2 linked regions of the Schizosaccharomyces pombe genome follow. The protein of the gene in region 1 purifies or fractionates together with the protein of each later gene. This does not show direct contact. Each region holds a gene or a part of one and is shown in the gene's direction. Other genes may lie near its edges.

What was found.
Region 2: the proteins of set9 (region 1) and pdp1 purify together in Schizosaccharomyces pombe (affinity purification with western blotting; one study listed by BioGRID). This does not show direct contact.

The regions. Positions count from the first base shown.
Region 1 is NC_003421.2:1,149,124-1,164,515, reverse strand, and holds set9 (histone lysine H4-K20 methyltransferase Set9), read left to right. Parts: upstream 1-8,454; 5' UTR 8,455-8,909; coding exon 8,910-10,235; 3' UTR 10,236-10,602; downstream 10,603-15,392. Other genes in the region: protein Nro1, read left to right, coding at 466-1,647; Lsk1 complex gamma subunit lsg1, read left to right, coding at 2,524-3,180; mrpl12 (mitochondrial 54S ribosomal protein bL12m), read right to left, coding at 3,436-3,922, 3,972-4,006; ipk1 (inositol 1,3,4,5,6-pentakisphosphate (IP5) kinase), read right to left, coding at 4,390-6,299, 6,356-6,368; protein fra3, read right to left, coding at 7,960-8,310; SPOM_SPCC4B3.13 (MatE family transporter), read left to right, coding at 10,654-12,273; protein Cwf20, read left to right, coding at 12,802-13,674; anillin-related medial ring protein Mid1, read left to right, coding at 14,301-15,392. UniProt on the Schizosaccharomyces pombe protein: Histone methyltransferase that specifically trimethylates 'Lys-20' of histone H4 to form H4K20me3.
Region 2 is NC_003423.3:2,054,310-2,070,364, reverse strand, and holds pdp1 (PWWP domain protein Pdp1), read left to right. Parts: upstream 1-8,080; 5' UTR 8,081-8,182; coding exon 8,183-9,262; 3' UTR 9,263-9,994; coding exon of another isoform or gene 9,995-10,573; 3' UTR 10,574-10,730; downstream 10,731-16,055. Other genes in the region: ribosome biogenesis protein Rrs1, read right to left, coding at 1,472-1,972; rsm23 (mitochondrial 37S ribosomal protein mS29), read left to right, coding at 2,427-3,857; telomerase reverse transcriptase 1 protein Trt1, read left to right, coding at 4,255-4,512, 4,569-4,649, 4,721-4,839, 4,891-5,153, 5,190-5,582, 5,622-5,692, 5,732-6,001, 6,042-6,158 and 8 more; rps902 (40S ribosomal protein uS4), read right to left, coding at 9,995-10,573; ort1 (carboxylic acid transporter), read left to right, coding at 11,209-12,102; atp14 (F1-ATPase subunit H), read left to right, coding at 12,763-12,777, 12,825-12,870, 12,919-12,954, 13,007-13,197, 13,244-13,267; AAA family ATPase Gcn20, read left to right, coding at 13,941-16,055. UniProt on the Schizosaccharomyces pombe protein: Necessary for DNA damage checkpoint activation. Required for the association of set9 with chromatin and subsequent methylation of H4K20. Associates with H4K20me1 to increase the concentration of set9 on chromatin to perform H4K20me3.

The DNA.
Region 1 (15,392 bases):
TTCAATTGCTCTAGATCCGCTGAAGTCATAAAGCTTTACTTTCTTCCATCTCCTTTTTAATTTTGCTCTTTTTTTTTAACAATGAAAATCCAAAACGTGTTAATGTATCTTGCTGCATAATTAGATGTTTAAAATAAGCTTCCCCTTCACAATTTAAAATCATCAATTTTTGTAAACAAGTCAATATGTACGACTGTATTACGAGCCTCTATACTTTCCACTAATACATTTTAACATGTCAAGTTCTCCAAGCTTCTGGTAACTCGTTTTCCACAGCCACAAAACGACGGTATTGTTTTTGTTACGCCATGCTCTTATTAGGTTTAACGCACATGGCCGACAACGCAACAACAATACCACATTACGTTGTAACTTGCTAACAAGTTTCCCGCGCGATTTTTGGGTAGAAAAAATCACTCGATGTCAACGCTGCCTTAGCAAAACAGGTTAATTTAACGGTTCGTTATGATTGGAAGAAGACCTCAAGGTCTACGCGCTGCTGCTTCTTTAAAGAAGCAGCAGCAGCTTGAAAAACAAAAGCAAGAAGCCTCTTATGAGCTGTCAGGAAACTCGTCTCCTAGTAAGGAAAACGGAAGCGAAAATGTCGACAATGGAGAAATGGAGGATGAGACAATGCTTGTTTACACAGAGGAAGACAATATTTCACAACTTTGGGGTTTATACGAGATGAGTCGCGAAAAGTTGGAAAATGACGATATAGATGCTAGTGTGAGCCTTGTCTTTGGTACCATTCACGAGGCTGATAGAATATTACGGAATACCGAGGACATTTCTACATTACCCAAGGACTTTCACGCGGCCTATTCCTCCGCTCTTTTGGCTGTGTCCGAGCTTTTCGAAATTGCACAAAAGCGTCTTAAGGAAACCAATACCGAAGAATCCTACATAGATGCTGCAATCGAGAGAGCTCAACTTGGCTTGGATGCTCCTGGCAACGAATCGAGACTTTTCCTTGCTCTTGCTCGTGCTTACCTTGAGAAGGTACGTGTTCTTGTTTGGCGTCACGATAACGAGGAATCTCTTGCCAACATCCCGGTCACTCAGTTGGTAAACCCATATATTGAGAAGGCCATCCAATACCTTCGTCCTCTTGCTCAGGATTCCACTGAATATTTTGATGCTCTTACCCCCGATTCTTTACGCCCATTATACATTCTCTCTTCCTACCTCTTTCAATTCGGTGATCAATTCTCTGAAGCTTTTCTCCTTGATGTCTGTTCAATTATAACTGCATTGTGGTTAAAATCTGTTGTCGATCCCAACACTCCTGCCTATTATAAGTTAATCGCTCAAGAGGCTGTTCTAAATAATTATACTACCTTCGCGGAATATTATATGGATTTGCTCGACAACAGTGAAAGTAATGTAGATGACCTAATCAACAAGGCTTCCAGCTGGCTCAACAATTCTGTCGATACCTGGAATGTTATTTATACTCTGGATAAATCTCCTGAACGCTTGTTAAAACTTGCGGATATAAAGATGGATCTGGCTCAAATTGTTCAAGACGAGGCTAGTCAGGATAATTACTTGAAGGAAGCTTGCAATGCTATCAAGGAGGCTCAAGGATCAGGTGTTGAGTTAAGTCCTGATTATGTTGAGTTTGTAGAAGCTTATTCTGCTTAGGATCGCTTTTACTTGCAACTTGACGGGTGTATTTCCATTATATCATTATCCCGTTGTTATATTTTTCTCCTTGAACAATACATCCTGCATTTTTTTTCTCTTTTCGAGAGTATTTTTCTCCATTATATTTACTTTTTAGGCAAACCTTATAAGTTTGTCGCTGGCCATTTTAGATTTCAAAGCAGTTCTTTATTGAAAGGAAATGTTGATTTTGTATGTACGACTTAGTAGAGCGTATAAAAAAATAAAAATTGTTTACTGATTCATGGGTTTCATTTTACCATATAAGTAAGGTCGGTTTTTGTGCTTTTATTAAAGTATAGTAGTTATTCTTTCCCGCTATTTATACTCAGAGATCCTAACAGTTTGGTGAATGGTTATAACTTTATCAGGGCTATATAAAAATATCTTTGAAAATTTACTATTTCGCTGTTGAAATTACTAAAAAAGTAGTATTTAATAAAATGAGATTTTAGTTTCTTTAAAGGTACAGTAATAGTGTTTGAAATAAAGTAACATGCTACTTAAAGCAACAGATTTTGCAACATGCTAACAGTTTGAAGACCTCTTAATATTACTTATGCACTGAGTATATTTTAATTTATTTGAATCTGGAAAGGTTCAACGTCCTTTCGCAAAATAGTATCCCAACGCTTTTTTTAGTCTCAAATTTCAGAGATTGCAGCTTCAAGAATAGATGAACACTTGGCAAAGGAAGTTTATTCTATATTTGAAATTTAAGACAACACACATTATTATTATTTAAAAAATTATTCTTGATGTTTTTGGAATTCAAAGTTCACGAAGTATAAGAAAAACCATCATAACAAAAATCGTTGTTGCACTCGCAATTACCAATATACTTGCAATAATAAAATGGATCCATTTGAGGGCCGCATGACATTTCTACAGCTTTTGGGAAAATTGAATGCATCGCAATTCTCTCAAATTAAACCCGCGCAATTTGCAATTAAGCATCTAGACTTGGAAGAAGACTTATATTCATGTATATGGGAGGAACTAGAGTCAGGTTCGTTCAATACAAGAGTGAATATCATGTACTTTGTGGACACACTCTGTGAGATGTGCTTAAAAAATGGCCTTACAGGTGGATATCTTAATATGATTAGTAGAGATATCTGTAAGCTAGTCCAGAACGTAGCTCCTATAGGAGCTGCTGGAGCTGCTAACGCTCCAGAGGTTAGAAAAGTACTCCAGTCTTTGCATGAAAAGAAGGTAATCGATGATAATCAATATAAAGATGCTATGGCTACGGTAGAAGCCCATGAACAAGCGAGCAAGTCAGGTGATACCAGTACTTCAGGAGCCATTTCAAAAAACGACATTCTTAAGAGGATTGAAGAAGACAGAGAGCGACACAAAAGAATGCGTGAAAACATTTGGGCTATTTCAGAACCAGAGTTAGAAGCGGAAATTGCATGGAACACTACCCAAGGAATTACTGAAAGCGATTTGGAATCCCTAAAGGATGAATACGAAAAGTTTAATGAATGTCTTCATGCAACTTCCTGAACCGAAGAGCGAAAACATAGAGTGTAACCCAAATAGAATAAAAACATATAATTAACTAATAATTTTGGAGTATTTTATACATTACCTAATATCTGGTTTTTTTAGAGATGATGAATTTTCCCTCCGTAGCTTAGTTTTTATGGGAATCCAAGAAAGTAAATCGTGTCACAATGTCAAAGCAATAACAAAAAGGTTGCCCAAAGAATTTGAATGGCGGAAAAGCATAGAAATGAAATTTTTTATAAACAACCCAGTTTATTCGAGGACTACTTTACAAGAAAGTTTCTCTAACTTCGATTTTATAGCTTCAGCATCCTCTTTCAAAATATTTTCTTTCAAAACCTTTGGAGCACTTTCAACGAATTTCTTTGCGTCCACAAGAGATAATCCCAAAAGAGACTTCACCTCTTTGATCACCTTGGCTTTCGAACCAGCATCAAACGATTCGAGTTTCAAATTCCAGGTGGTTTTTTCCTCTTTCTTTTCCTCAGGAGCTTTCTCTTCAGAAGGAGCGGCTGAAGCTACTGCTGGAGCCACTGCTGCCATCGGAGCTATTTCAGCAATGTTTAACTTCTCCTTTAATTGCTTTACAAGTTCAGACGTCTCTAACAATGATAGAGAGCTTATTTTGTCAACCATTTCCCCAATTTGGGCATTATTGTTTTGTACAGATGCGGCAGCTCGAAATGATCGCGTGTTTACCAACGATCTTGCCCAGTTCTTACTGGAAGATAAAGCACGTCTTTTAAAGTTAGTATAAATTTGTTAATTAAAAATAATTACAATCTTACAGATTTCTTGTTTGGCGTGATGCGATGCGAAACATGCTGTATTTTAAAATTATACTTGAGGTGAAGTAAGGTGCAAGTGAGATGGGGGTTGGCAAGTTAAGTATAGTAACTACAACTTTTAGGTGATCATTCATCAAATATCTAAAATATGTTCAATGGATCTTATTAATTTTTCATTAGTAATAATTAGAAAATAAACTAACCTCGTAGTAAAAAATGCTCTAGAATTATTAAGTGTTCAACAGTTAGTTGAAGAGAACAAATAAATCTAACCCTTTATTTTTATGCTTTTATCTCCCTGTTAATTATCAGGCATATAACAAATAAAACAAAAATGCATAATGTATTGAAATATTGCAATAAATCCACAAATTGATGGTGGTATTACATATTAGAAAAAAAATTAACAATGAGATAATTACTTTATGCTGCTCCGGCATGCTTTGTCAGTAGACTTCATCCCACGACCATAGTACCAACCGCCTTCAATCAAATTCCTTTCATCACGTTCCCATTTAGACATTTTGGTATTCATGTCTTTAGGATCTAAATCTAGTAATGTTATGTGATCTTTACCAATGTATAAAGTCACATCTCGAAGGGTCATCGCTAACGCAACATCAGTACGAGAGTATTGCTCTTGTAGGTCACGAAGCTTCCGTAGTATACCAGACTGAAACAATCTCATTGCGATATCAGGACTCACAAATCCTTGAAGACAGCACAAAAACTTGGGCCAATTGTTGAAATCAAGCTGTAGAGGACAAAAACCAACGGGTCTACCACGCATACGGCTAAGGGCACACGTTCGACAAACAACCCAGTCAGGTGGAGCGGCAGGGGACTGAGTCAACCATTTTGGTTTCATTTCAATTCCATCTTTGAGATCTTTCATTACCAAACAGTATTGCTCATTTAAATTTAAATAAATACCAGAAGCATTTTGGGCCGCCAGCAAAAAATCCCTAGTAACTGGCTGCAAAAAAACCTCAATTAAAAAGCTTTCCATTCCAGCAAACAAAGGATAAATTACATTTTGATAGTATTCATAAACTTGTTCTGTAGTAAAAACCTGTCCTCGACGTCGAAGACGAATTACCTTGTCTTGAAAGTAAGGATTTTTACCAACATACTCAAACACCACATTCGCACTTCCTGAGGCAAGGTATGCCCATTCAGAAATCACCAGGGATTTACCGGTGGAGGAATGATTGGAGATAACGGATGTTGGTGAATAAGGTGCAGGGGATTTAAAAAGCGGATTCGATATAATTGGAACTTGAAAATTACTACTAGCAACCGATTCATCTTGGGACTCTACACCAGAAGAAAGGGCTTTCATGGATGGAGGACGCGACATAATTGGAGTTGAAGGAGTATGTGTGTCAACGGGAGAATTTGTAACAGAAGAGCTAGCGGTACTAGCCATAGGCGAAAGGCTTACCTGAGACGCTGAAGTATGCAAATTCTGAGCGATGAGAGAATTCATGGCATCAATTTTTCCAGCTTCCCACTCTCTATTTGATAAAACATCACCAGATTTTGGAAGTTCTACGGGAGGACGGTTGTTGTTTACGGCAATTAAGGAAATGCTTTCAGCAGCCTGGCAAACTGAGGAAAACTCAACGAGCCACGTTTGGGGAATATCGTCTTGAAAACAATCCCAAGGGCGAACAATGTTGTGCATTTTTCGAAACATTTGAAGTTGCAAGCAGTAAAAATGCTTCATAAGTTGTCCAAAAAAAACACGACTTTTTGCAATAAGAGTTGGGAAGGACAAAGTTAAATGCTTCTGAAGGTCATCCAATTCACCATTGACACGGACAAGCTGGCTTTGTAATGCTTTAATTTTACTTTTTTTGGTTTCAGGATCAGGCAATTCGTAAACAACCAATAATTCTTTTTGAATTTTTTCAAGTTCTTTTACTTTTTTATCTCTTCTTTTAATCATTTCAACTGCCTTCTTTACATAGCCTTTGACCTCCTTGCAAGGAGCAATAACTATGACATGGAAATTTTGCAGGGCAAGCAAGACTTCACGACGTTGACGTTCCAAGGCCTTGTTCCAATCGACCAATGTTCCGACAGAAGCAGCAGGTTGTTTTTCAGGAGGTAACTGTCTGTACAAAGAAATCCAAGAGGCAGTGACGGAGGGAGCTATACAAACCATGCATCTCCAAGCATCATAGAAGAGTCGAGAGTTATCGATTGTAGAACGAATCGCTTTATCTAATTTGTGGATCTGATCACTCCACTGCTCAATTTGTTGATCAGAAGCAGCAATATCTAATTGTTTAGGTTCTTTTTTAGACGTAGTCTTTGTATAATCTTTTGTAAATTAAATTAGCACACTATACAAATTCAAAGGAAGTAAGAAGACATACTTTTTAGAGGCATTTCAAATTAATAGAATAAATAGGATGCAAAAAAGAAAAGAAGAAGGGTAGAAAATGAGAATAGACCAAAATTCTGAACGAAATAGTTGTAAGAGAAGGAAAATATAACCAACTGGCTGATGAGTAAGTAAGTAAATGTGAATTGAAACAAGAAGCTCTAGGATAATTTTCTAGTCTAATAAGGCGGGAATTTTTGATGCTCAGCAAGGATTTGGCGGTTTGACAGGGAAGGTAAATCTTGGGGATATTCCCAAAGGAAATCAGAGGTTCTCGTATTATGGTATTAAATGTAAAAATAAGTTAAAGAGCAGGTGCTTTGAGCATCCACAGAGAATTCCAACTCCAATTCGAAAAAAATAACCCCTTTCGAGGCGTTGATTAATGGTGAAAATAACAAATGACTGATGTTAGGTCAGCTTTCACTTACTGATCCTATTTATGAATCTCGTAATCCGTATTTACGAAACTCAAGAAAAGAACAATTGCGACTATAGTAGTAAGAGTTGAAGTTGGAAATGCGAATTCATTAGCTAATTAATTGATTTGTGTTGCAGAGTATGTATAGTAAAAGTTACTAGTAGTTTGAAATAGCTGCACAAAATATGTGTCTGCCAGGTGGTAGTGCGTTCTGGTGATACAAGTCTTGAAATTGCGACATGATTTGATAACTTTATATACTCGCAAGATGGCCAAACTAACTAACCGGGCGATTTGAAAATGTGAAGTTTGGTACCAAATCGAGTTTTTCCGCTTATGTTTGGCAAATTCTTCAGCTAGTTCAAATCGCCGGTGCGAGAAATAATTCCGATCCGTTAGGCGATAAAAAGCGATGCGCCTATATCATAATTTTCTAAGAAAGTCATTTTAACAATTTTAAAGTTATCATGCTAAAATCGCTGACCAAAAAATCCGAGGCTGGTCGAGATTGATGACTTCGCAAACCGAAAGGTTCAGAAAAGAATTAGCCATATGGTGTTGCATTGGTTTGTTGAATAAATCATCTAAAAAGAAGCCGATATCTGTAACTTGTTTGAAAAATAGCGTTGTATTATGAGTGAGAATGAGAACGTTTCAGAGATCAGTGACTGTTGAGAAATTTTCCATCGACGGATCAACATTAAAATCAATATGTTTTATACATTAGTCGAAAGGAGTCTATCTTTTGGAAATTTAATTTCGGAAGAGAATGTTGACTCACATTAAGTGTAGTAAAGATAGCAACATTAGCAGGAATGGTAATTACGGACTCAACGACTTGCGGAAAAAGTTTTTTTTCTCCAAATACACATCAATGTTTTCCCCGGCCGTTACCTTTTGAATATTAAATTCTAGAAAACACACTTAGAAGTCTATAGCGCAAAAATCATATCGAAGGCATAATATAATAATATTCGAAAATAACAGATGTATTAACTGAGAACAAAAAAGGAAAGTTTTATGTTACATTGTATGAACGAGAAGCCAAGGTTTTTAGGAAAACGTTGAAATAAATAAAAGCCGTGAGCTTCATATCTAATTTGAAAATAAATGTCAGACAACTATGTTCTTAAACAGTAAAATCGTAGCGGCAGAGAGGTCTTTGTAAACAAATCTCATGAACTTGTAGTCGATCCGCCGGCAGATATATCGTCTTCGACTTCGGTAGACAAATTCAGTCCGTGCATATTTCTGATTTCTTCTTTGAGGATAGAATTGACTAGACGGTGCTGCGCCAAAGTGTTCTTCCCTTGGAAGGCTTTGCTTTTAATTGCAACTTGATACATGCTGCCACATCCTCCAGAAACGTCGATAACTCTCAAAGAACTAGGTGAAAGCTTCTCAGTGAGTATGTCCTTTATCCTTCGTTCTCCGGGTGTCGAATAAAATCGTTTAGTAATGATCAAGGGTTTCTGAGGATTTTTCAAAAATAATGGGCTTAAAAGCCTACCGATGGCTAACTTCATATTTAAACTTGAATATTAGAAGGAAGTAAATTAAACTGGTATCTCAATAATGATAAAACGGGATTTAGGAAGTTTTTTGTATCTGCATTCGCCTATTGGGTTGCTAGTATAGTTTAGTTAACTTCATCAGTCCCGGTCCAACCTACTGCTATTTCTACGACCCATTTGTCTAGGTGGATTTCATTCGAAGCAAAGTCGCTCTTTATTAGTATAACTTACAAAGATATAATAACTAGAAAACTGTGAAAACTTTTAAGGGGACCGTCCGAGCTTGGTGTATATTTAATTACAACGTTCAGACTTTCGTGGATTCTTTTATTTAAAACGAGAATAATTAAATTTCGCTAATTAGTCGATTTCCTAATAAGTGATTGTGTTGAATTGTTGTGTTCAAAAACATTTTTGTATTTGCCAACGCAGAAATATATTACATATTTGGATAAACTATCGAGTTCCTAACCTTTATTTTCTGAGCAAACTCATATAAACCTATAATTTATACATCAAGATTACTCATCGTTGTTCAACTGGAAAGGTACTTTTAACATTGAATGTTTCATGACATTTTGATACCTGCCTAACGCCTATGAAAATGCATAATGCGCCAGACGAATACTCATCTTGAAACGTTTTCTCTTTTTGACGATGTTTGTACTTGTTTGCTAGTTGACAAGGTGTTTTATTGGTCCCAAATTCATAAAGTACGAAAATTAGTGGATCGATCAATTGAGCGAATGGAAAGCTGTTCTATTATAAATATTATAACCAAATATATTATAGAGCAAACAGACCTTGACCAAGCGGCAAAAAATATTCTGCAATTTCGTGAACTTGATCCATTGTTGCGGAGATTGTCAAGCACTTCTTTACTAGCATTTACTCGACATCTGAAGTACTACCTCTCATTATATCTACCATCATGCAAATTTGAAATTTGTTCAACAAACCAATACTTTTCTTCCTCAAAGCCTGAAGCTTGCGTAATAGCGCGTGAATCAATTAATGCTGGAGAAGATATTACAGACCTCTGTGGAACAATTATTAAGTTATCTCCTAAAGAAGAGCGGAATATAGGAATTGGAAAAGACTTTAGCATCCTTCATTCAAGCCGCTTAGATTCGATGTGTCTATTTTTGGGCCCTGCACGATTCGTTAATCATGACTGCAATGCTAACTGTCGATTTAACACTTCTGGTAAGCGCATTTGGCTGCGCTGTGTAAGAGACATAAAACCAGGTGAAGAAATTACTACCTTTTATTCTTCTAATTACTTTGGCCTTGAAAATTGTGAATGCCTTTGTGTCTCATGTGAACGAATGGGCATCAATGGTTTTAAAAAGCTTTTCCATACTAGTGCTACTTCAACAAGTTGTTCTTCCAAGAGTAGTTCTGATGTTTCCGATCTGTCTTCTTTGCCGCAGTCAAATCGTTACGTGATTTCCGAGGAAGATCGTAGCTTCTTGAATATTTGGGATTCAGGTGGTGAACTGAGTGATGCGTCCAGTTCTGATTTGGATGAGGAGTTTTCACTATTTATACCAAGGCACAAAAAAAGGGTGTGGTCTCGAGAAAAAAGGCTTTTGTCTGAGATGGCCATAACGAACCATAGTCCGTTACTGAATGTGGATGATTATCGAAAATTTCGTGAAGATCTATGGAAAAAAAGACATGGAAAAAGAAAGGTTTACCAATGCTCAAACTGTAGCCAGACATTTATTAATGAAGACATTCAAAATTCGAGTGCATTTTGTCCGAAATGTATTAGACATTCTAAACTCTTTTCATTACCTTGGCCTTGTAGACATAAAGTTAATCGTGAATTGAAACTAGAGAAAGAAAAGGAAATTAATACAAAAAGGAACTTAGTTACCAGCTCGCATAGTATGTCTCTGCGACACAAAAAAGCTGTTGATTATCAAAGTTAGTTGACTAGACTATTTATATTAAGATTGGAAATTTTGGTTAATTTAGGTCATTGTTAGTTGGACTTTAAAGCATTTATTTAAAAAAAAAAAACTAAAATCTTGCACTATTCAGGGTATATCCGAAGGTGAACAATGTACATTTGAATCATTCCGTTCGCTAATTCAATCTATTGTTGATTTTTTCATGGGATTCACCACCTCTATTAACTAAATATTTGAATGCTTTTAAATTCAATAAATTAACGTTCAATGTATTGACTTGTTTTAATATACTACGTTTTTATAACTGAGGGAAATTTTGGTTGTGTAATATGTCACTATATAAGCTGTGCCCGGTTGGCCTCACAAACTTTACTAGCATCCACAAGTTTTTTAAACTTGACCCCCTTTTCCTTTAACTTTATCAGACATATCCATAATGGAAGGGGAAAATGATCCTTTATTAGGATCTTATAAGCCTAAACGAAGAAGATCGAGTCTTGTTTACGGTTTGTCAAGACCCCAATTTCTTGACACCGCAGCTTCGGAAGTTTCACCTATTCCACAAGAAAGACCCACTACTTCCTTAAGAAAGCCTACACCTAGGGTACAAAGACCTGCGACTGATGTATCATATGGCGCTTTAGAGGAAACAGAAGAAAACGAATCTATTGCGAGTGGCCTTTCAGTACAAGAAGACTTTAATAGCAAGGCATGGTGGAAAGAATTAACATTACTTATTAAATTCGCAACCCCTGTTGTATTAACGTCTTTACTTCAGTATGGTGAGGTGGTTACTACTGTTTTCTCTTTGGGCCACTTGGGTAAAACAGAGCTTGCGGCTGCAAGTCTGTCTAACATGACTGCCACAATTACGGCTTTTGCTATTTATCAGGGGATTGTATCTGCTTTGGATACCGTTGGAACTCAAAGTTTCGGATCTGGAAATTACGAAATGGTGGGTTTACATTTACAGAGGATTCTGGCCATATTGTTGTTGATACAATTCCCTATTTTCTTGATATGGTGGAAAATAGAGGGCATACTTTTATTCCTTAGACAGGATCCTCTTACTTGTATGTTTGCGGCAAAGTATATGCGAGTAATGATGTTGGCTAGTCCGGCATACGCATTATTTGAAGCACTAAAACGTTTCCTTCAGGTGCAAGGTATATTTCATCCTGTAACATACATTTTAGCAATTGTTGTACCTATTAATATTTTTCTTAATTACCTTTTTGTGTGGAGTCCCTGGGTTGGTTTCGGTTTTCTAGGTGCACCGGTCGCTGTAGCATTAACGCTATGGAGTGCTTGTGCTGTTCTAATTATCTATATTATGAAGGTAAACGGACGACAAGCATGGGGAGGTTTTAGTAGAGAAGCATTAAAAAATTGGGGCCCGTTATGTCGATTGGCTGTTCCTGGTGTAATTATGATTTGCAGTGAGTACTGGGCTTTTGAACTCGTTACTTTCGCATCGGGCGTGTTGGGTACCACTGAATTAGCCTCTATGTCTGTTTTGTCTACTACCTCGACCCTTTCTTATAATTTGGCTTTCGGTGTCGCTGCTGCAGCTGCCACAAGAGTAGGAAATTTAATTGGTGCTGGAAATACGAAACTCGCTAAGCTAGCTACGCACGTTTCTATCAATTTAGGTGCTGCAATTGGTGTTATCATTGCTGTAATCCTTTTTTTAACTCGCAACACATGGACTTACATTTTTACGTCTGATAAAGATGTCGTCGCATTGGTTGCAACTATCATTCCCCTTGTTGCACTCATTAATATTGCCGATAATACACAATGTGTAGCTGGAGGCCTTCTTCGGGGACAAGGAAGACAAAGGATTGGTGGGGTAGTAAATTTCATCGCATATTATTTATTGGGTTTGCCTGTTGCCATAATCCTTTGCTTCAAGCTAGATTGGGGGCTGTACGGTTTATGGATTGGAATTGGAGCTGCAATTCTAATTATTGCTGGAGTAGAAACTTGGTGCTCATTGCATGTCAATTGGGACCATTTAGTTGAACTTGCTAATCGTCAGTTTGATGAGGCTTAAAAGTTGATACGGACAAGTTAATGATTATTTAAATATGTATTGTGGTTTGTCATAAATTGATATATTTGAAGAGATATGTTCGGTTTATGATACCATGGTTACGACTACTAACAGTTGATTGATAAAAGTATTCGAGTCGGTACTTTTTCCAGTCTTCAAGATTTGGCCATGTTTTGGCCTATCCTAAAAATTAAGTTTACGAAAATTGCAGTGCTTTAAACTCTCATATTTATGAAGCTTATAAAAGTAAATTAAATTAATGGTAATTTGGAATCTTTTTGGGTGATTAATATATAAAATACCACATATGCTAGCTAGCAACGTTGGGCGGTAGCATTCAATTAAATATTATTTCTTTTTAAGACTTACTTAAAGAATTAATTTAAGTTTGAATAAATATGTAAATCATCTTGCAGATGCGAGTATATTAATTGCCATAAATAATTCTGTTCGCAGTGAGAATAGTTACCGAGTACAAATCGCTCGCTCAGAATTATTAAACGACTTAATATCAAAAGTTAATAAAATATGTCTCTGGTTTCATATCCTCGATCAGAATCCGAAAGCGATATTGAAGAAGAAACACCATTAGCTTCTAAAAGTTTCGATCCTACTTTGTTTCAGCATGCGCGCAGAAAATTGTCGGTTGACAGCACTAAAAAGTCACCTAAACGCCTGAAACGGCAAGTTGATTTACAGAAATCTTCTTTTAATGATAAAACTTTTAATGAATCTGATGTTATCTCTAATGAACGATTTAAATCTAATGATTTACTTGAACTTTTGCCTGCCCCAAAAAATCAAGCTGAATTAGCTCCAAAGTCATCTAAAAGATCGGACCTTGATTTAAATGAAAACTATTTATTACCTAATAACTCTGTAAGCGATTTAACCTCTACTGGATCCTCCGAAACTGTCAAGAAATCAACGTATTCAGAAAAGTCTGGTAACGTTTCGTTATTTAATATCGTAGGATCAGAGTCAAAGCAAGCCTCTTTAGTAGATTCCGATCAGAAACCTTACCAACCAATTTTGATAAAACCTAAAGCTAGAGCAAATCCTCCGAAATTGAGGAATCAACCCGAGAACGATTTCATTTCTATTGCTAATCACTCAGTACATTCAAATGCAGAGGACATAAACATTATCAATGAAGATTACATTGAAATTGGACGCCACCGAAAAGAGAAGGGACGAATTATAGACGTTGATATCAACAAACTTCCAAAACCGACCCAAGAAGCATTGCCAAGCGCCCCTACTATTAAAAGTGTTGCACCTGGTCGTCATCAACTGTCTTCTCTTGTTGAAATGGCTATCAGTCAAAAAGACAACTTTGAAGCTTATTTTGAGCAGCAACGATCAAACAAAAAGGCATCTTCTCAAAAGTATGGGTTTTAGCTTTAAGTAAATGTTACGCCCCGATAGTTAGTTTTAGGTTTTAACTGCTCGTGTATTTGTAAATTAAAAGCTGTTTATCAACAGATTCATTTTATGTATTTTTTTTTAGTTTCTGCGAAAATAGCAGACAACAAAATATGATTTTACTTATTTTATTTTACATACTAATGACTTTATTCATCGCTATTCATAAGCATACTGATAATACAATATTATCTTTGCAAGTATGTCCCAGCTATAATTCATATTTGCAATGCAACTAGCCTTTTTTTGTTAATTTTAAAAAGGAAACTTGGCTTTAATCTTCGATTTATGGTATATCCAGAGTTTGAATTGTTTAACCATATAATCAGTGTTCTCACTGGGACTACCACTTATCATAGCGTCTACCGATTTTGTGTGACCTATGCCTACTCCACATGACTGAGGTGAAGAAGGATTTCAATAAATTATAAGAGGTTTTCGTGCTTTTAGCATCAATTTTAATAGAATTTGAATTAATATTTGCTATAAAGAAGAAGGCTCGTCTTTTGTTGTACTTCAGGGTGCTTATATGATACTGTGTCCACATTTTAACACTCGATAAGGTATTATAGTCTGTAAAGTCTAATTAAGCTATCCTGACGATGAAAGAGCAAGAGTTCTCATATAGAGAAGCAAAAGATGTGTCTCTTGACTCTAAAGGCTTAGAAAACAGTTTTCTTTCTTCTCCAAATCGAGAAAAAACACCCCTTTTTTTTGAGGGTAACAGTAATGAAACCTCGGGATATGATCAAACAAAAAACTTTACACATGGAGATGGCGATATGTCCCTTGGAAACCTTTCGGAACTAAACGTTGCGACAGATCTTTTAGAGTCACTTGATTTAAGAAGCATGTATATGCATGGCTATGGGCACCTCGATTCATCTTTTTCTTCTCAACATAGTCCTGATAATCGTAAAAGAATGAGTAGTACATCAGTGTTTAAGAGGATTAATTCCGAGGAAGAAGGTCGCATTCCTAGTTTGACGTACTCGGCAGGAACTATGAACTCGACAAGTTCTTCTACTGCGTCTTTGAAAGGTGCTGATATTGTTGCAGATTATGAAACATTTAATCCGGATCAAAATTTAGCTGAATTATCCTTTGACCGCTCCAAATCGTCTCGCAAGAGGGCGGTAGAAGTAGCAGAATTTAGTCGAGCTAAGACAATGTCTCCGTTGGAATACACTGTTCAACATCCATATCAATCCCATAATGAACTGTCTACAAACCCAGCCCGAGCAAGAGCTGGAAGCGTTCCCAACTTGGCTCGCATACCATCTGATGTCAAGCCCGTACCTCCAGCACATCTATCTGCATCTTCTACTGTAGGTCCAAGGATTCTTCCTAGTCTTCCCAAAGATACCACAGAGGACAATCCAGCGTTGGAAAGGGTCGAAACGACGGCGTCTCTCGATATGGATTATAAACCTTTAGAACCTTTAGCTCCCATTCAGGAAGCCCCTGTTGAAGATACTTCAGAGCCTTTTTCTTCAGTCCCAGAGGCCACCTTAGACGACTCAGATATCTCTACAGAAAGTCTTCGTAAAAAGGTTTTGGCCAAGATGGAAGCAAAACGGATTTCCAGTGGATCTTCCTATGCTAGTACACTTAGGAAAGTTTATGATTTCTCTGAGCTTTCCCTTCCCACCAACGGTAAAGACTATGATGAGTTATACCTTCAATCTTCCCGT
Region 2 (16,055 bases), on another chromosome or scaffold:
ATGAGTTATCTACTCAAACGCGGGCACTTAGGAGTTCGTAGCGCGTTTGATTAGATCTCACAAAGCTAAAACAGAGTAGCAAGGCCGTTGATGAGTCGATTTCTTCTTTAAATACAATGCTAATTTAATCCAAAGAGTAACGCTTTTATCAATGAAATAGTTGAATAGCTGTTTTCTTTGTTGTTGCGGACGGCAAGAATAACCAGGTTACCTTAGTGGATATAGGAAAGAATTCCGCTTTTGAAAGAATGACTACAATGATATTGTACTTTATCAACATAAGCAAAGTTATTTGTACATAAATTATTTTCTTTTCTTATTTTTTAAAACTAACTAGTGGTCTTTGGGGATGCATTAAGTATTTGCTTAAAATATCGAACGTAAACAATACTTAGAAAATTAATGATATACACCATAAAATCGACGAAGTAGCCAACCGAGAAACAAATGATAATATTGGTAAGCTTTTTTTTGGATTAATGAGTTTTTCTTTAATTTTTTTTCTATTTATTTGCATTTTTTAAATTTTTTTTATTATTACTACTAAAAGCATCAATCTCATATCAAAATTAATTATTATGTTAAATATTTAAATAAACAAGTCAGTATTAGAAAACTTATTATACACTCGGTTTAAAAATGATTAGAAATTGAAGTATGGCTTGCACATTTATTTATATAATCTACTAAAAATTTATGTTTACCACTCAAAAGGATATGTTTTGATTGAGTATATCATTCATAGAAAATGCAAAAACCAATTTTAGAACATAAACAATTATATTTTTAAAAATTCACAGCTATATTTGCATCAGCCGGGAGTCGAACCCGGAGCTAGAGCATGGGAAGCTCCAATGTTACCGCTACACCACTAATGCATTCAGATATTTAGACTGATGTTGCAATCTATATAGTAATTTAGAAAGGATTGTTATTGTTGAGTCTGATGAAATTCTGTTTGTTGAACATTTCAAAAATGTTGCATATCAGTTAGCCATGAGTTGGGCTCTTAATATGATGTTCCAGCCTTTTAAGACTGCATACAGAAAATAATAATTAACTACGATATGGTCGCATTTTAACTGTATGAAACTTTTTTTACAAGAGGTTATTAGAAAATTCAATTGGAGGAAATCCCACAGTGTATCAAAACAGTTGCTGTTAAAACTTACTTTACACTTAACTCGTAAACATTCAACATTTTAACGTTCGATTTTCGAGTAGCAGCTTCAAAAAAGTGCTCGTTAATTTTTAACACATAAAAATGTGTAAACAAAGCAGCCACATAACCGATGTCTTACATATTCCTTCTGTACCCGTTGATATCCCAATTGAAGAAGGGATTTTAGTTGTAGCAAACAAAAACAAACGATAATAACAAAATAAAAATGATATTATACCACTTAACCCATGAATAGCTAAATTATAGTAAATTTTTAAATTAAGAAAAATTTTTTTTAAGCAGGACCAATTAATGGCGACGAGAGCGCTTGATTTTTTTTGAGGTATTTCTCACTTGCTTGGAAGTAAGCTTCTTTTCCTTTTCTCCCTCTTCAACAAGCCATTGTGTCTCTAATTCCTTATTTTTACCCTTATAACCCCATTTTGGTACCCATTCACCAGATGCTTCATCAAACACCAACCTGCCTTCCCGCTTCTTAGGAGCAATACCTTTAATACGAGCAAACCGTTGCCATTTGGTTTCGGGCTTGGGTTTAGGTAAAGGTTTAGCACGAGGAAGAGGTGTAACAGTTTCAGGAAGCTGTAAAAGGACGCCATCTGATGTACGCTCCTTAGGCAAGGAAATCATTTTGTTCACCAATTGTTGAACGTTATCTCTACTGAGAGAAAAAAGGAATGATTCTTTCTCTGAACCGCTAAGCTTAGTTTCATCTAAGGGAGAAATATCAAATGCAGCCATATTTCCCAAATCGAAATCTAGAGGAATGGAGTTTTCTATTTGTGCAGACATGATTAACGAAATAGGGACAAGGAAAAAAAAAGGGTTGATAATACAATTAAGTGACAAAAAGTTCTCAAAAAAGACTGCAAAATTGATTTGTTAAAAAGTTGGTTCAGGATACGAAATTCTTCTTTCAAACTCCAAAATTTTTATCAAACTACTGAATATATAAGAGAAAAAGCTCTCTTTCAGTTCAGCAATCTACTGTTTTTACTTTCTTTATGACAAACGAAGAAAGTAAGAAAACTTTTACGATTCTTTAGTTTTTGCAAAAGTAGAGACACTTATTAGCAATACGTTAGTTCTCTTTATTACTGAACGCCAAATCTACCCTATTAAAAAATATTAGCAATGCGCTAAGAGCTCAGTAAATACTTACCATCCGGAAGCAGTCAGTCTCTTCATTTACGTGAGAACAGATATGTATACTTAAGATTTACGAGAAAAAAATACCTCTAACAAAATGCTACCGAAGTTTAGAAGCAGAAGTAGTATTATTAAGAATACAGAGAGAATTTCTAATATCCTGTCCGGTGGAAAACTGACTGTTTGCGGTAGTAAACTGGGAGGACTCTACACTTTTGAAAAATGCACATTTAACAAATACTATTCATCCTCACAATACCAGCATACGGGTAGACCTGTTGGAGGAAATATACATTCAAGCTCTAACCAGCAGCGTCAAAAAAATTCGGAAGCGCCAAGAATTAATGAAATTCCCCCCTCAACTTCGTCAGTAGAGAAATCGACGACTATTCCCAATAGTAGCGTTGTATTGGATCATCTCTTAAATGAAGGAGAAAATACTTTAGAAGAGGTGAAGCCCTCTGAAATTCATCCGCATATGTCTTGGTCCAGCAAGTCTGAAGGTAAGATGTTTAAAATCCCCGAGGAATTGCTTAATAAACTTAATGGATTTGGGGCTTTAGAAAAACAAAAAAAAAGTTTCTCCTTTTTTACCAGTGCTTCCCTTTTGCACAGGAAAATTACAACTGAATTAGTGAATGTACTGCAGCGCTCCAAAGACCAGGGTACGAAGGACGGACGTTTTCTTCTTGATGGTGCTCCAGGTTCAGGAAGAAGTATTGCTCTCATACAAGCTGAACTTTTCGCCTTATCACAACCTAATTTTATAGTCTTGCCAGTCCATAACTGCGAAGGATGGGTAAATTCAACGAGTAGTTATGGTTATGATGAGCAACTCAAGTTGTGGGTGCAACCAGATTTAATTAAGGGATTTCTAACTTCTGTTATGAAAACTAATTCTGATAAACTTAAGAAGCTAAAGACCTTTGAAAGTCATGAGTTGCTTCAGAACGAATGCATTCCTGCTGGTACCGATTTACTTTCCTTTCTTCATAAGCTAATTGCTTCCTCGAACGCTCCTAAATCTCTGGAAATATTTTTACAAGAACTCAATAACAATACCAAGTCAAATTCCAATATGAAGGTGTTATTAGTGATCGATAATATTTCTATTTTATCGGTCGTTACCAAGTATAAGGACAAAAAGAACAACTTCCTTCCCCCTAAAGACTTTTACTTTATTAATTTACTTTTCAAATATATTTCGGGTTCGCTTACTTTTAATCGTGGTACTGTTTTAGCTGCTACTTCTAGCCAACCGCGTGTTTCTACCCCGTCATTGGATATAGCTCTTGGAGTAGCTCACAGAAATCCTTACAAATCTTCTGATGAGACTATATTAGATTCATTACAGTCCGTGCATATTCTTAACATGGAGCCTTACACTTTAGATGAGTCACGTCGCATGATGGAGTATTTGGTATCATCCAACGTTTGCCTTGAAAAGGTTGATAATTATTTGCAAAATCATGTCCTTAGTGGTGGTAATCCGCGAAAGTTTTTTGATGCTTGCACACGTCTAGCATGATTGAGATATTCAAAAATTTCTATCCACTACAACTCCTTTAACGCGGTTTTATTTTTCTATTTTCTATTCTCATGTTGTTCCAAATATGTATCATCTCGTATTAGGCTTTTTTCCGTTTTACTCCTGGAATCGTACCTTTTTCACTATTCCCCCTAATGAATAATCTAAATTAGTTTCGCTTATAATTGATAGTAGTAGAAAGATTGGTGATTCTACTCGTGTAATGTTATTAGTTTAAAGATACTTTGCAAAACATTTATTAGCTATCATTATATAAAAAAAATCCTATAATTATAAATATTAATCAATATTTGCGGTCACTATTTATTTAAAACGTTATGATCAGTAGGACACTTTGCATATATATAGTTATGCTTAATGGTTACTTGTAACTTGCATGACCGAACACCATACCCCCAAAAGCAGGATTCTTCGCTTTCTAGAGAATCAATATGTATACCTATGTACCTTAAATGATTATGTACAACTTGTTTTGAGAGGGTCGCCGGCAAGCTCGTATAGCAATATATGCGAACGCTTGAGAAGCGATGTACAAACGTCCTTTTCTATTTTTCTTCATTCGACTGTAGTCGGCTTCGACAGTAAGCCAGATGAAGGTGTTCAATTTTCTTCTCCAAAATGCTCACAGTCAGAGGTATATATATTTTTGTTTTGATTTTTTTCTATTCGGGATAGCTAATATATGGGCAGCTAATAGCGAATGTTGTAAAACAGATGTTCGATGAAAGTTTTGAGCGTCGAAGGAATCTACTGATGAAAGGGTTTTCCATGGTAAGGTATTCTAATTGTGAAATATTTACCTGCAATTACTGTTTCAAAGAGATTGTATTTAACCGATAAAGAATCATGAAGATTTTCGAGCCATGCATGTAAACGGAGTACAAAATGATCTCGTTTCTACTTTTCCTAATTACCTTATATCTATACTTGAGTCAAAAAATTGGCAACTTTTGTTAGAAATGTAAATACCGGTTAAGATGTTGCGCACTTTGAACAAGACTGACAAGTATAGTATCGGCAGTGATGCCATGCATTACTTATTATCCAAAGGAAGTATTTTTGAGGCTCTTCCAAATGACAATTACCTTCAGATTTCTGGCATACCACTTTTTAAAAATAATGTGTTTGAGGAAACTGTGTCAAAAAAAAGAAAGCGAACCATTGAAACATCCATTACTCAAAATAAAAGCGCCCGCAAAGAAGTTTCCTGGAATAGCATTTCAATTAGTAGGTTTAGCATTTTTTACAGGTCATCCTATAAGAAGTTTAAGCAAGGTAACTAATACTGTTATCCTTCATAACTAATTTTAGATCTATATTTTAACTTACACTCTATTTGTGATCGGAACACAGTACACATGTGGCTTCAATGGATTTTTCCAAGGCAATTTGGACTTATAAACGCATTTCAAGTGAAGCAATTGCACAAAGTGATTCCACTGGTATCACAGAGTACAGTTGTGCCCAAACGTCTCCTAAAGGTATACCCTTTAATTGAACAAACAGCAAAGCGACTCCATCGTATTTCTCTATCAAAAGTTTACAACCATTATTGCCCATATATTGACACCCACGATGATGAAAAAATCCTTAGTTATTCCTTAAAGCCGAACCAGGTGTTTGCGTTTCTTCGATCCATTCTTGTTCGAGTGTTTCCTAAATTAATCTGGGGTAACCAAAGGATATTTGAGATAATATTAAAAGGTATTGTATAAAATTTATTACCACTAACGATTTTACCAGACCTCGAAACTTTCTTGAAATTATCGAGATACGAGTCTTTTAGTTTACATTATTTAATGAGTAACATAAAGGTAATATGCCAAATTTTTTTACCATTAATTAACAATCAGATTTCAGAAATTGAATGGCTAGTCCTTGGAAAAAGGTCAAATGCGAAAATGTGCTTAAGTGATTTTGAGAAACGCAAGCAAATATTTGCGGAATTCATCTACTGGCTATACAATTCGTTTATAATACCTATTTTACAATCTTTTTTTTATATCACTGAATCAAGTGATTTACGAAATCGAACTGTTTATTTTAGAAAAGATATTTGGAAACTCTTGTGCCGACCCTTTATTACATCAATGAAAATGGAAGCGTTTGAAAAAATAAACGAGGTATTTTAAAGTATTTTTTGCAAAAAGCTAATATTTTCAGAACAATGTTAGGATGGATACTCAGAAAACTACTTTGCCTCCAGCAGTTATTCGTCTATTACCTAAGAAGAATACCTTTCGTCTCATTACGAATTTAAGAAAAAGATTCTTAATAAAGGTATTAATTTTTGGTCATCAATGTACTTTACTTCTAATCTATTATTAGCAGATGGGTTCAAACAAAAAAATGTTAGTCAGTACGAACCAAACTTTACGACCTGTGGCATCGATACTGAAACATTTAATCAATGAAGAAAGTAGTGGTATTCCATTTAACTTGGAGGTTTACATGAAGCTTCTTACTTTTAAGAAGGATCTTCTTAAGCACCGAATGTTTGGGTAATTATATAATGCGCGATTCCTCATTATTAATTTTGCAGGCGTAAGAAGTATTTTGTACGGATAGATATAAAATCCTGTTATGATCGAATAAAGCAAGATTTGATGTTTCGGATTGTTAAAAAGAAACTCAAGGATCCCGAATTTGTAATTCGAAAGTATGCAACCATACATGCAACAAGTGACCGAGCTACAAAAAACTTTGTTAGTGAGGCGTTTTCCTATTGTAAGTTTATTTTTTCATTGGAATTTTTTAACAAATTCTTTTTTAGTTGATATGGTGCCTTTTGAAAAAGTCGTGCAGTTACTTTCTATGAAAACATCAGATACTTTGTTTGTTGATTTTGTGGATTATTGGACCAAAAGTTCTTCTGAAATTTTTAAAATGCTCAAGGAACATCTCTCTGGACACATTGTTAAGGTATACCAATTGTTGAATTGTAATAACACTAATGAAACTAGATAGGAAATTCTCAATACCTTCAAAAAGTTGGTATCCCTCAGGGCTCAATTCTGTCATCTTTTTTGTGTCATTTCTATATGGAAGATTTGATTGATGAATACCTATCGTTTACGAAAAAGAAAGGATCAGTGTTGTTACGAGTAGTCGACGATTTCCTCTTTATAACAGTTAATAAAAAGGATGCAAAAAAATTTTTGAATTTATCTTTAAGAGGTGAGTTGCTGTCATTCCTAAGTTCTAACCGTTGAAGGATTTGAGAAACACAATTTTTCTACGAGCCTGGAGAAAACAGTAATAAACTTTGAAAATAGTAATGGGATAATAAACAATACTTTTTTTAATGAAAGCAAGAAAAGAATGCCATTCTTCGGTTTCTCTGTGAACATGAGGTCTCTTGATACATTGTTAGCATGTCCTAAAATTGATGAAGCCTTATTTAACTCTACATCTGTAGAGCTGACGAAACATATGGGGAAATCTTTTTTTTACAAAATTCTAAGGTATACTGTGTAACTGAATAATAGCTGACAAATAATCAGATCGAGCCTTGCATCCTTTGCACAAGTATTTATTGACATTACCCACAATTCAAAATTCAATTCTTGCTGCAATATATATAGGCTAGGATACTCTATGTGTATGAGAGCACAAGCATACTTAAAAAGGATGAAGGATATATTTATTCCCCAAAGAATGTTCATAACGGGTGAGTACTTATTTTAACTAGAAAAGTCATTAATTAACCTTAGATCTTTTGAATGTTATTGGAAGAAAAATTTGGAAAAAGTTGGCCGAAATATTAGGATATACGAGTAGGCGTTTCTTGTCCTCTGCAGAAGTCAAATGGTACGTGTCGGTCTCGAGACTTCAGCAATATTGACACATCAGGCTTTTTTGTCTTGGAATGAGAGATGGTTTGAAACCCTCTTTCAAATATCATCCATGCTTCGAACAGCTAATATACCAATTTCAGTCATTGACTGATCTTATCAAGCCGCTAAGACCAGTTTTGCGACAGGTGTTATTTTTACATAGAAGAATAGCTGATTAATGTCATTTTCAATTTATTATATACATCCTTTATTACTGGTGTCTTAAACAATATTATTACTAAGTATAGCTGACCCCCAAAGCAAGCATACTATAGGATTTCTAGTAAAGTAAAATTAATCTCGTTATTAGTTTTGATTGACTTGTCTTTATCCTTATACTTTTAAGAAAGATTGACAGTGGTTGCTGACTACTGCCCACATGCCCATTAAACGGGAGTGGTTAAACATTAAAAGTAATACATGAGGCTAATCTCCTTTCATTTAGAATAAGGAAAGTGGTTTTCTATAATGAATAATGCCCGCACTAATGCAAAAAGACGAAGATTATCTTCTAAACAAGGGGGATTAAGCATATCCGAAGGAAAAGAGAGTAATATACCCAGTGTTGTTGAAGAAAGCAAGGATAATTTGGAACAAGCTTCTGCAGATGACAGGCTAAATTTTGGTGACCGAATTTTGGTAAAAGCCCCAGGTTATCCATGGTGGCCGGCCTTGCTACTGAGACGAAAAGAAACTAAGGATAGTTTGAATACTAATAGCTCATTTAATGTCTTATATAAGGTTTTGTTTTTTCCTGACTTCAATTTTGCATGGGTGAAAAGAAATAGTGTTAAGCCATTATTGGATTCCGAAATAGCCAAATTTCTTGGTTCCTCAAAGCGGAAGTCTAAAGAACTTATTGAAGCTTATGAGGCTTCAAAAACTCCTCCTGATTTAAAGGAGGAATCTTCCACCGATGAGGAAATGGATAGCTTATCAGCTGCTGAGGAGAAGCCTAATTTTTTGCAAAAAAGAAAATATCATTGGGAGACATCTCTTGATGAATCAGATGCGGAGAGTATCTCCAGCGGATCCTTGATGTCAATAACTTCTATTTCTGAAATGTATGGTCCTACTGTCGCTTCGACTTCTCGTAGCTCTACGCAGTTAAGTGACCAAAGGTACCCACTTTCAAGTAATTTTGATCATAGGGGAGAAGCAAAAGGAAAAGGAAAGCAACCTTTAAAAAACCCGCAAGAGAGGGGCCGTATATCTCCTTCCTCACCTTTGAATGACCAGACGAAAGCACTAATGCAGCGACTACTTTTTTTTCGCCATAAGCTACAAAAAGCATTTCTTTCGCCGGATCATTTGATAGTTGAAGAAGATTTTTATAACGCCAGTAAATATCTAAACGCAATAAGTGATATCCCGTTCCTGAACTACGAATTGATTACTTCTACTAAATTGGCAAAGGTCCTGAAGAGAATTGCTTTTTTGGAGCATTTAGAGAATGACGAACTTTATGATATTAGGCAGAAATGTAAAAATTTGCTTTACAGTTGGGCTATGTTTCTTCCAAACGAACCATCGATAAAAGGCATGTAGTGTTTCTCAACGTCAATAGAAGCTGATTTCCTATTACACACGACACCCTTTTACTTATGCTTTGGAGTACCGGTATTGCATACCAGATCGGTGGGAAGCAAGTTGTTATCATGAATACTCTAAGTAAGATGCGAAGCGCTAGTTTGCCGGTTGTTTAAATTTAATGTTATCATCTAGATACAATTTTTACAGTGTATTTTAGCAGTTAAGTTTACGTTAAATTAGTATTTGTGGCTATTCACACAAGAAGGTAAAATTCACATTTCTTTGGCAATATACATTGTTCAGTTGATGGTTCCTTTTTTTTTTGAAAGCGGCCTACAAGATATATTTCTAATTCACGTGCCTTTAGAAAATTGCCTCTATTTGTCTATATATTAATTAACGAAAAATATCAAAAACTTTAAGCAGCAAAAATTAAGTACTACAATTTCATCCAATACGACTATACCTTTAGTATCTTCGTATTCTTTTTTTTTTGTCTCCTAAGTCAGTTTATCTGTCTTCACAATTTTTACGAAGCATTGGATTCTTCAAAAATCTATAAAACGCTACAAGGCTTTAGTGCGCTAATTTAATACGAAGATGTAGACTTCAAAAAAAATGTACGACAAAGAACAGTTACCATATGCATTGAGATTATAAGCTACATATACTAGTGAAATACACAAGAAAGGAATTTCATTTTCTACTCAGAGATTAGGATTCATTTTTACTAGTCAAAGAAAAGAATTACTCCTCTTCGGCTTCTTCACCTTCACCACCCTCTTGTTGAGAGCGGAGACGCTTTCTCTTGCAGCGACCAGGGCGACCACCACCATATGGAGAGGAAAGAGCAAAGTCGATATGCTTTTGGGCATCCAAACGGACAACGAAGGAAGGAACATTGACAATTTGCTTACCAACACGGATGTGACGTTGGAAGATCAACACACGTGCATGATGGATGGACTTAGCCAAACCAAGCTTAAAGACTTGAGTTTGCAAACGACGCTCCAAAAAGTCCTCGATACGGAGAGCCAACACATAATCAAGCTTCATACGGGACTCATCCAAAATGCCCAAACGAACAAGACGACGAATGATGGCATTTCCCTCGAAAAGACGCTTAGGATCCTTCTCGTCAAGGGTCAAAAGCTCACGAGCAGCACGACGGATTTTAGAAAGGGTAAGTGCTACACGCCAAATTTCATGCTTATTTCTCAAACCATATTCACCAGCAAGCTTGAGCTCGGCATCTAGACGGGCCGACTCGAAGGGACGACGAGGAACCTTGTAAGTCTTGGATTGCTTACGAGGAGCAGAAGGCATTGTTTGTTTGGTGCTTTGCGCAACCTACCTTTGCTATGTATTTTCAAGAAGGCACAACAGTGACGGCTTTTTGAGATACTGTAGTATTAGGTTAGGGTTTTGTCCCATCACCATCCCGTACCGATATCCTTACTACACACTATTCCTACTAACCCTCTAGCTTATATCCTTGTGAAGGAAAAGCAGAAGTTAGATTTGTAAATAGAAGGTGTTGTTTATTTTTTCTAAAATAGAAGATCACATATGTAAGGGATACACTGTATCTTGTGAGTGCGTATTAAACTCTATTTGAAGATATTAATTGCACAATCCTGTGAGTGTTGTGCTGTTACTGTCTCTTTTTTGGTTTTTCTCTGAAATTGATCATAATTATTGACGATTTTACTTTTTTTCGAGTTTCAAAATATAAAAAACAAGTTTTTTTTTAGTAGTTCATCTTACATGGGTGGTGAACTTCTGAATACTTTAGACTATACATACAATTTAGACGTACATATACGTACTTACATAAAGAAAGAGGATTTCGATTACTTCATTTGTTTAGATAAGTCGAAAAATCTATTTTTGCTAGAATATTGATCTTTATTTTCTTCTCTCATTTCTCTCTATTTTATTTCTGAAGGATTGATCAAAAAATGGGTTTACCAGTTCATAACCAGCCCCATAAAGCACACTCGGGCTCTCCCGCATCTACCTTTTCCGCTGCTCTGGTTTCTTCTGCCATTAGCAATGTTATTGGGTATCCTCTTGACTCGATTAAAGTTCGACAGCAAACTTACAATTTCCCAACCATTCGCTCTTGTTTCCAAAACGCTGTTAAAAACGAGGGATTAAAAGGTTTGTATCGTGGTCTTACTCTACCATTGATATCAGCCACTCTATCGAGGTCAGTATCATTTACGGTGTATGATTCCTTAAAACTTACATTTGCTCATGTGGATCCTACACTTCGGTATTTCATTTCCGGGCTTGGGACTGGTACTTTTATATCACTTTTTGCTTGTCCATTCGAGTATTCAAAGTTATATTCACAAATTGACATGCTTCTTCGCAAAACAAATATGGGCCGTCGGCAAGAGACAAATTCCAAGCTAAGTGTCAGACCTCCCTTGTCATCTTTCCAGAGCGCTTCTGACATTGTTCGGAGGTATGGATTTACTGCATTATGGAATGGGTATCGTTATCATCTAACCAGAGACGCTCTAGGATCGGCTTGTTATTTTACAATATACGAAACCTTTAAGAAAAATCTGATAGCGAATGATGTGAAGCCGCATTTTGCTTATGCCTTCTCTGGTGCTTTTTGCGGCGCTTTGTCTTGGATTTTGGTATTCCCGGTGGATACAGCCAAATCCATTGTACAAAGAAATACACTCTTATCAATTAAAACCCCTTTGTCTTCCATTCCTTGGTTATCGTTTACTATATATCGAGGTATAGGTATTTCATTGATGCGAAGCGCTCTTATAAATTCTTGCAATTTTACGCTTTTTGAATTATTTCGGGAAACTAAAGTATTAAGCAAATAGTTTTATTCTAGTTTTACGAAGTCTTTGTTGTCCATTGAGTCGATAACCCGTCGGAATGCATTTCTATACATATTTTAACTTGCATTCGACTTGCGGTTGAAGTTTAATCACATTTTAGAACTGGTTTTGTCGTATATATTTAAAGTCCCATGGAATACTTTTACAATTTTTTTGATGCTATTTATTTTTTATTAAAAGCATTTTTACCTTCAAAAACTCCCCTCTCATCACTTTTCATATCATGTGCTGCTGTTAGTTTGACAGTAATTCCACTGAACTTGTTATACATTTCACGAGTTAACCGTTTCAATCTGAAAGTATATTTTCTTTTCCTCTTTTCCCTGTTTTTTTTTGTTTTGTTTTGCTTTTTACGTCCTGTTTTGGTTAATCCAACTCTTTCAATATCTGTATGTACCTACGCTTTTTTTTCTTGTATAGTTGAATTTTGTTTTGTAGATTTTTGGTAGAGGTGTAAATTGGATGAAATTTTTGAGACTAATAGTCCTTCTATTTCAGCGATTGTTTATTTGGGCATTTAAAACTTTAGCTATTAGATTTAGTATGTTTAATGTACTTTCGGACAATGCTGGCTTTCTTACTCAATACATGCTACCTAAGTGAGTTACCACTACCATCCACATATATTGTGAAGGAAGAACAATGTCTCGAATTTTGGTACGTTATACATTGCTTTTTTTAAGAATTTAGGAGCTAATATATAGAAATCACTAAGTCGTAGTTATTCGACCACCTCCCCTCGTCTTTACGGTATGAAATGACATTTTGATTTTGATGAGATTACTAATGGCAATTTAGTCGATGTAGTACAGGGTTTATATATTTCTTCTTTAAGTATGTTATTATATTCTCTTAATTTACCAATTTCTTACACGTCGTGTCTTAGAATCATATAAGCCTAAAGCTGTCCCTTCCGAAACGGCAGCTGAAGTAAAGGAATGGTCCATGCCTAGCGCTCCTACTGCTCCAAAATACGATGTTGACTTTACTTCTGCTTTAAACTCTTACAAGTATGAGGGAGAAACCATTCCCACTAAGGCTGCTGGAGAAAGCAACAAATTTGACTTTCTTGAATCAGTATGTATCTCTTCCTTTACATTGCATCAGCTAACTTTTCCTTCAGTATGAGAATGAAAAAGAACATTAAATTTATTCACTGCTTTTCCTATGCTCAATTGGAAGATGTTTGGTAATTAACTTTGATTAAATTTTGCCTTTTATTTTCCGATTATGAATTTACATTTTCATCTACGTCGTTGAGATTTGATTTTATATCTATTTCATGCCTTTGTCTGATCCTTCTTTTGATTGACCACGAACGTGGATGTATCTCTATAACTCCCGTCTCACTATGATTTATATTCTAGGTTAACGTATCCTTTTTCTGCTTTCTAAATGTCTTTGAACATAGCTGAATTCAATGCTTAGTCGTCTCTTCGATTACGGCACGAAACAGTTGTTGCCTTGATTGATAGAAAACCACTTTCATTGAGTTGAGATGTTTTTCTCTTTGCAAAGTATTTCTATTGAGTTCACATTTGGATTTTTTTTTTCAATTTATATCAACTCAATACAATTGCTTTTATTCAACAATAAGGATTAGCTTGATAAAATTTGATGTCTACTGTGGGTCATTAAAAATATCAGTAAAGTTCACAGTAGTTTTCTTGGAATTGTAATTTTTTTTCTTAAAAAAATATATAATTCACTATTATAAGGTATTTAGTATATTTTCATGCCTAGTCTCATCGTTTTGCCGATTGAGGCTTCATATATAGCAGTAGTATAACTTGCTTAGTACTATCCACCTCACATCCAACATGGAGCAAGTCATTCAGAATAATTGCTCTGAAGTAGACCCTCATGTCCTCAGCTACTGCACTGGATATGCTAATGATGCTATTAAAGATGTAGATGAGGCTTCAGACCATACGATCTCTCTCATTCGTAATTTATTGCTAGATGCTGGCGCTCGTGAGGAAGCGGTACAGCTCATACAAAACGAACTAGAGAAACAATTTAAAGAAAGAGAGGAACATCTAGATACATTACAAACGAATGGACTTGTTCGTTTGAAGGAGACTATTCGAATGGATTCCCAATCCGAAATTTCGTCAACTATGGGTTTGGTTGGCGAAAAGATGGAATTAGATGCTGTAAAGGGCCGTAAGGTTGAATCTAGGGTAGATAGAAGAAAATTAGAGAAGGCTGAACGGAAGATTCGTGCCAAATGGGAGAAACGTACTATCAAAGCAGAATACGAATCTTCAAAGTTGGTTCAACCCGAACAAAAGTCTTATGAAGAGTTTTACATGGCTGTAAATCCTCTAGATTTATCCGGAAGTAACCAAGGAAAATCGAAAGATATTAAAATTGATGGAATTGATCTTGCTTTTGCTGGTCATCGTATATTGACTGGTGCTTCGTTGACACTTGCACAGGGTAGACGATACGGTTTAACTGGTCGCAACGGTATCGGTAAATCTACTCTTCTACGTGCTCTTTCTCGCCGTGAAATTGCGATTCCTACCCATATTACCATTCTTCATGTTGAGCAAGAAATGACAGGTGATGATACACCTGCCCTACAGTCAGTTTTGGATGCCGATGTTTGGCGCAAGTATTTGATTCAGGACCAGGAAAAGATAACTAATCGTCTATCAACGATTGAAAAAGAATTGGAAGAACTTAGTAAAGACCAAACTGCTGATCAAGCTATTTCCCGTCGCCTTGAGCGTGAACGAGACGAACTTGATTTACGGTTGTTAGATATTCAAAATAAGCTTTCCGAGATGGACTCTGATAGAGCAGAATCACGCGCTGCTACTATTTTAGCTGGTCTTGGATTTACTCAAGAAATGCAAAGCCATGCTACCAAGACTTTTTCAGGTGGTTGGCGTATGCGTTTGTCATTGGCACGTGCTCTGTTTTGTCAACCAGATTTACTACTTTTGGATGAACCTTCGAACATGCTTGACGTTCCCTCAATTGCTTTCTTATCTGAATATTTACAAACTTATAAAAATATCGTTTTAGTCGTTTCACACGATCGTTCTTTCTTGAATGAAGTTGCTACTGATATTATTCATCAACACTCTGAGCGCTTGGATTACTATAAGGGTAATTTTAGTCAATTCTATGCTACTCGTGAAGAACGTTGCAAAAATCAACTTCGTGAATATGAAAAGCAAATGGAATACCGCAAACATTTGCAATCATTCATTGACAAATTTCGTTATAATGCTGCCAAATCATCCGAAGCACAAAGTCGTATTAAGAAGTTGGAAAAACTGCCGATCCTTGAAAAGCCTCAAACTGAGGAAGAAGTTGAGTTTGAATTTCCACCTGTGGAAAAAATATCTCCTCCTATCTTACAAATGTCTGATGTCAATTTTGAGTATGTTCCAGGTCACCCTATTCTCAAACATGTTGATATTGATGTTCAAATGGATTCTCGTATCGGTGTGGTTGGTCCCAACGGTGCTGGTAAATCAACAATGCTTAAGCTTCTTATCGAACAACTTCATCCAACATCTGGTATAGTTAGTCGGCACCCCCGACTTCGTATTGCATACTTTGCACAACATCATGTCGATACTTTGGACTTAAACTTGAATGCCTTAAGCTTTTTAGCTAAGACATTTCCTGGCAAAGGTGAAGAAGAATACCGTCGTCATCTTGGCGCTTTTGGTGTTAGTGGACCTCTTGCATTGCAAAAAATGATCACGCTTTCTGGTGGTCAGAAATCTCGTGTTGCGTTCGCATGCCTAGGTCTACAAAACCCTCACATTCTTATTCTAGATGAACCCACCAACCATCTGGATATGGAGTCCATGGATGCCTTGACAAGAGCTGTTAAACGCTTCCAAGGTGGTGTGATTCTTGTTTCTCACGATGTTGATTTCTTGGACAAGACATGTACCAGTATTTGGCAG